Linked DNA regions of Caenorhabditis elegans. The protein of the gene in region 2 interacts with the protein of the main gene of each other region in a pairwise test. Each region holds a gene or a part of one and is shown on either strand. Other genes may lie near its edges.

Region 1 (3,811 bases), on a different chromosome or scaffold from region 2:
CAGCCTCTGTTTCATGCTTTGAAGTATCAAATGATTCTCCCCATCCTCGGAATTCGATCTGAATAGAATTTAGATTAATTTTCAGAAACTTTTTATCAAATACCTCAAACTTTTTCTTATCAAATCGCAATATTTCAACCCGTTTCGCGACAAAGCATGGTTCAGCGTGGAATGAGTTGAGCGCTTCGTCTAGAAACTGAAATAGGAGACCATCTAAGCTATCGCCAGAAGCTTTCCAGTAGAATTCGTACATCTGAAATAATGCAAAATTAAAATTTTATTTTAATCAGTTTCTTGTAGAAATTGTGGGTTTTGTTCGAAAATGAAGTCAAGAAGGCAAAAATTGAGCTTTTTTCTGGGAGCAGCTTCAAAACTAGAGAATACACGAACAAAAGCTAAAATTTCTACAAGATATCGATTTAAATTGCAATTTCATATGTTCATAAGCATATTTCAAGTGAAGTAAGAAAAATTAGACAAAACAGAGGAAAGTGGAAAAATTCTTAAAAGGCGCAAGAGGCGATCTAATTCAATTTCAAATTACCTCATCAACCTTGGCCAAATCCGTCATATAGCCGAACATTGATACGAGGCATGCTTCGAAGGCTTCTTCCATTGTGGATCCCCAAGAGTGAAGTTGAATATCTGCCGGATGATCGAGATATTCGAATCGCCGACGTTCGATCTCAGAACGATCTTCGATCATTGATGTGCTCGGCATTATTTCACTGAAAATAAATTAAACTGAACTTAACCAAATAAATTTGAGGAAAAATTGATTAAAATATCAGAACGGTTGAAACCAAAAAATAATCGATTTTGATTAACTTAAAAAAAACAATTTTATGTATTTATGATGCGGTTTTTGTGAAAATTGATATCTACGAGCCACGAAAAGGAATGAGAATCGAAGTATTTGTTCCTTTAATCTAGCGGTAGGTGTGTGGGAAGTGGCAAATTAAATGCGAACTCGAGAGGTGAAGGAGGAGGTTGAGGATTGATGAGAAATGGAATCTATTTACAAGAGAAGAACTACAAGAGGGAAAGAGGCTTGGCCGGCAAGACTAATACTATATCGCCTTGAATATTAGTCTATTCTAAGCGTTCTACATGAATAATCTGCACTCTATTTCTCTTGTGGTTCCGCCTCGTCTTCACTGAAATCGGGGAAAATTTCGATGGACGTGTCGGCTTGTTTCGATAGGCAACGAATTGTGAGAAGAACAAAACGTTTGAGTCCTTTGTTGTAGAAAATGAAGGCAAGTGCCCAAATGCAACCGTCTTCGGTAAACGGATCGTCTTCGAATTGGGACTTGAAGCTGAAAAATATGGAAATTATATAAAATATCCTCTCAAATCAAACGGAATACCTGTATATTTGACAGTCACCGGGCACAATTGCCTCATCAATAATTCCCCATAGCTCTTCTCTTCTCACGTGATAGTCTCTGACAATTGTCTCAAGCTTCATATCAACGAGACGGCTCAGGTCCTGAAAAATCATGCGCGTTAATGTTATTTAGCTGTAAGAAGCTACTAACCGAATAATTGACGAGAGCAAACGCTTCACTGTTGGCATTACTGAAATCGTGATCCGGAAACGAACAGTTCAGAACTTGAGTCAGATCATACAATTTCTTTCGCGAAATTGAGTCTTTTATCAGGTAGTCATTCACGTCGAAATCGTTGTCTGATCCTCCTGAGCACGAGCGTTCCGATAAATGGCGAAGCCGATGATTGTGACCAACACTGGGCGATGCACTCATCACCATTTCCTCGTAAGATCCTAGAGGCTGGCGTTCACCCCATATCACAGATTTATCGTTCGATTTCCATTGTTTCTTTTCGCTAGTAACCATTTTCGACGAATACGTTTCTAATCTGAAATTGAACGATTTGTTTTATTCTTAATATTGAGATAAATGACTCACTTGAAATCAATAACACAATCGATTGCTCCCGTAACGAGTGTCTGCGAAAAAACATCCATTTCGGAGCTTTCCAGAAACTTCATGGCTTCTAAAGCTTTTCAATAAATTTCGAGAACATTTGGAGAATTCAAGTGCGGAAAAATCCTACGTAATGAAGATTGCAATATTTAAAATCGCGCATTTTGAAAACAATAATTTAATTTTTAAATTTTACACTAAAATAACAATTTTAATTACTTTTTCAGAACGATTTATCGTGAAGAAAGGAAAAACTGCTGTAAAAAAATCCCATTGATTTAGCAAACTGTCGGCAACTTCTGTGTAATGTGTGCAATATTGTTGTTGGTGTTTGCGTACTTGTCTACCGTATACCTTGGGGGTAAAATGAAATTTGTTAAATTTCGCTTCGAAAGTCGTTTTGCAATTAAAAACTATAGTCAAAACTAGATTTTCAAATAATTGATGTCACAGGGGTCTAGAGAACGAAATAACACGACCATTTATGACAGAATCAGGAATATTTAGATTAAAAAATTAACAAGTTTCAAATCAAATTTTCAAAAGGCAATGAGATTCACAAGTTTTATATTCAATACAAGAATTTAGTGGAATTAATTAGTCCATTTTGGTTCATAAGGTGTTACTGAAATTGATGATATTTGCTATAACTTAATGGGAAACATGAGAAAAAACCTGTTTGAAAATTAGTTTTGCACCCTCTATTAGTTTTGCATCAAATTAGGTGTCCGAAAATTAGTTTTGCACGTCTTACTAATAGAGGATATACGGTATACGGAAAACAATTTAAAAAAATATTTTTATTTGAACGACCACGTACATCTTGATAAGGACTGGTATATGAGCAAGTAGTTTTAGTCATAGTGTTCAGTCTTCAACTTTTCAACAAATGGTCTGCCAAGAAGGATGGGAAGATGATGCCAATTCAACAATTCCGATGCTGTGAACGAAGATATGAGTATGCAAGGAACCTCCGAGTGGACCTCGGACGATGGAGCCGATTTACCTACAGTCGTGTGTGAATTGGAAACCAGTTCACTTCAACCAAACGGAATATTAAAGTGAGTGCGGGTCAGAGGTGTAAATCTGATGTTTTAAAATGTTATAAAACATAAAGTTTACAGCTTTTTGAGTATTGAGAGTATGAACCTTTTTTTTCAGATACTCATACTGGCATATGTCACAAAAACCCCCCGGACAAACTACTCAAGACGAAACGTTCAAAGGATAAATAGAGGAGACAGAGGAAAAAGAAGACAACTCCAAAGTGGGAGCTATTTTGTAAGTTTGTTGTTAAACTCATAAGCTTGTAGATGGCTTGCCTCAATACATTTACAAATAATGTCATATTGGTGTTTATTTCAGGAAGTACAACTGAATCGATTGGAAATTAACGTCAGGATGTGGATTGGAACAAGTAGCTGGAAGTGACTGGAAACCCTACTGTGTCGACGGCGGAGGAGACATGGTGCATGGATGGACAACTGAAACAATTTGACAGCCAGGCTACGTGAAGCTCAATGCTCCGCTCTGATCGACAGTATCTGCCTCCTACCTGCGTTGTTTAAGTAAAGCTGCAGAGATTGAATTAAAGTAATCCATCTGAAAAGAGCATCTCTATTTCTCAATCATTTCGTGTTTTTGAATTTGAAACTGTGCTGTTAGATTTTGAGAGCTTGAAATGGACGTAGTATTGTTTCATGTAGAGAGAAAAGAATTTCGAAAATTGATACAGTGAGCGACGTTCAAAATCGTGGGACACATTTTTTTTCAGCAAAAGCTGGTTCCAAAAAATGTGCAAACTCACTTTTTTTTAAATTTAAAATAGTTTATTCGAAGAAAAAAATTAAATTAAAATTGGC
Region 2 (2,924 bases):
CGCGAAAAAATTCGTCTACATATTGCCAGTTTTTTCCAGTCAAATATACCTGCTCTTTGAGCCATGACACGTAAAAAGGCGTGGGAGGGTGAAAAAACCTGAACCATTTTTTTGGGGGGAATACCTGTACGTCAGCTTGTGTGCTTGAGAGATTTCAGCGTTTTTCAGAGCCCATTTTCTAATAGTAAAAGCATATATAAATATGATATATACGTGTGCATATTTACCTTAAGCTGTTGAATCATAGTCCGGATTTTTTGGAAACCTGTGTGCATTTTTCCAGTCAAATGTTCTTCGATACGCTGTTGAGCGTCATTCACGATGAGCATGCTCCCACACACTTCACAAACCTGTAATTGTATTTTTCTTGGATAAAAATCAGTCTAAATCTTCTAGATTTTTAGATTTACCTCCATTGGCTTAATTGCCATTTCGTCAAGCATCGGTGGCATGGCTTGTGGGTTCGGTTCGTTCATTTGTGAAAGTTTCTCTTCAAGACCTCGTTTTTCAGCTTCAACCATCTCGCTTCTCGCGACTATTTCCTGGCATTTTGTCACATTTCCCTCACTGCCGGCTTGCTCTGCGTCTCGTATCATATTTTTCAGGACATCATCTATCGAATTGATCTCCAATTGTACCTGACGCTTCTCTTCCTCTAACTTTCGCTGAAAAATTGCGTGTTTTCGACATTTTTTTTCAGATTCAAAGAGTTTACCTTTCCACTATCATCCATTCCGGACAATTTGTCTTTGTTCTTTCGAATTCTTCGCTGATTATCTTCATCTAATTGAACGAGAAACCGCATAAGACGTCTTTCAAAGCCAAGTTGTCCATATTCTGGAGATTCTGGATACAATCTTCGAAGATTATCGTCATGTACTAGCTGGCACGCTCCCAAATCTGCCTTTGTATTGATGAACATGTCGTGAGGACAGAAACCGACCAGGAAGTACGGGCATATGTCAGGATCCTGTAATAATCTATCAATAGTTCCAGGGGAAAAAATTTAAGTTACATCAAATGTGACTTTTGTGTCTTTTCCTAGTTCAACATTCCGTTTGGGACCCATTAGCTCGTCGAGCATTGCTGCCATAGCGTTGCGAGCCGACATGACTGTAAAATTTATTTTTTGTTGAAAGTTTGAGAGAAAAATCGGTTGAAATAACAGAAAAAAACATCGTTTCGCCGGAAAAAAAACAAAAGTTTGTTTGCAAAAACACTAGTGTATATTTACGGTAAACAAAGTGCGCATGCGTAATTTCGGAGTGTCGTTGTTGTGCATTTTCCTTTGAGAAAACGCGTTAAGATCACTATTTTATCGACTTTTTTATTATTATTATGAAATATATTCAATAGAATTTTCTATTTCGAATCATTTTTCAGTAAAAATGTTGAGAAAATTCAGTAAACAATACCAAAAAAGAATTCGATGAATAAACAAGGCGCGTGGAATTCCCTGTGGAATTTCGGAGTGTCGTTGGCTAAAATCTTTCGAATTATAAAATTTAATTTGCTTTCGAGACTCTTTTTGCCTCTTATTATTACGTTTTTTCTTCAAATTTTCAATTTCAGATTCACAATGGCAATGGCAAATCGTCAAAACCGTGGCGCAAAGCTGCCGCCAGAGGTCAATCGTATTCTTTATATTAAAAATTTGCCGTATAAAATCACGACGGAAGAGATGTACGAGATTTTTGGAAAATTCGGAGCAGTTCGGCAAATTCGAGTGTAAGTTCAAGCACAATTATGGTTTTGCCTGTTCTTGAAGAAGCCCGACCAGTATTGATTTTTCAGCGGAAACACTGCAGAAACTCGCGGAACTGCATTCGTCGTCTACGAGGACATATTCGATGCGAAAACCGCCTGCGAACATCTGTCTGGCTATAACGTTTCGAATCGGTATCTTGTGGTGCTCTATTATCAAGCGACAAAAGCGTGGAAGAGAATGGACACGGAAAAGGCTCGTACCAAGCTTGAAGATATCAAAGAAAGATATGGAATTGGTGGAGACATCGACAAGGAAAAGGAGAAGTTGGGATTGTTCACTCCAAGAAGAATTTAAATATCGTGTTTCTTTAAACCTTATTTTATCATTTCCCTCAACCTTCAATGAATGATAATTTCTCTGTGATTATTTTTCTTTGAACTTTTCATGAAAAAAGTATAAAGAGTAGCTGAGAAGTATTTCTAGAAGCCTTTCCCATGTAGTTTTCACTGCAACTTTTTTCGAACGAGGGGTGAGAAAAAATGCGAAAAATCGGTGTTTGCACACAATACACCGCATTTTACGACATTTTCTACTTGCTTTCTTTTCTTGTGTTTTTCACCGATTTTTCCCGTGTTTTCTTATTAAAACTGATAAATAAATATTTTTTGTTAATGCTAAAATAATTTCCAGATGAAAAAATTGTGAATTCAGCCGGCAAGTAGCGGTGAAAGTGGTCAATGTAATATGATGGATTACGGGAATACAAAACCCAAACTTTTCCCCAAACATGATACATATGATGTTTAGATGCTAAAAGTACCTGATTTTCATAATGAGACCGCTGAAAAAGTTTTGAGATTTTCAAAATTCAACTTTTTTGGTAAAAAAGTCGAGATTTTGGCACAAAATGTTGAATTTTGAAAATCTAAAAACTTTTTTAGCTGTCTCGTTATGAAAATCAGGTACTTTCAGCATCTTAAAAGCATATATATCATGTTTCAGAAAAAGTTTGAGTTTTGTATAGCCGTAATCCATCATATTACATTGCCCACTTTCACTGCTACTTGCCGACTCAATTCACAATTTTTTCACTTGGAAATTGTTTTAGCATCTGCAAAAAAAATATATTTATTTGTTTTGATAAGAAGAAACGGAAAAAATCGGTGAAAAATGAAAGAAAACACGCAGAAAACAAAGCAAGATAAATGGCCGCTGA

What was found.
Region 1: the proteins of sftb-6 (region 2) and mafr-1 interact in a two-hybrid assay, tested with the Caenorhabditis elegans proteins (one large-scale study listed by BioGRID).

The regions. Positions count from the first base shown.
Region 1 is NC_003279.8:10,621,381-10,625,191, reverse strand, and holds mafr-1 (Repressor of RNA polymerase III transcription MAF1), read right to left. Parts: upstream 2,020-3,811; 5' UTR 2,015-2,019; coding exon 1,932-2,014; intron 1,882-1,931; coding exon 1,542-1,881; intron 1,493-1,541; coding exon 1,371-1,492; intron 1,320-1,370; coding exon 1,127-1,319; 3' UTR 831-1,126; downstream 1-830. Other genes in the region: arch-1 (Protein archease-like), read right to left, coding at 1-58, 104-253, 545-721.
Region 2 is NC_003280.10:96,832-99,755, forward strand, and holds sftb-6 (Splicing factor 3B subunit 6-like protein), read left to right. Parts: upstream 1-1,572; 5' UTR 1,573-1,579; coding exon 1,580-1,728; intron 1,729-1,794; coding exon 1,795-2,062; 3' UTR 2,063-2,130; downstream 2,131-2,924. Other genes in the region: luc-7L3 (Luc7-like protein 3), read right to left, coding at 228-350, 411-665, 716-970, 1,016-1,111.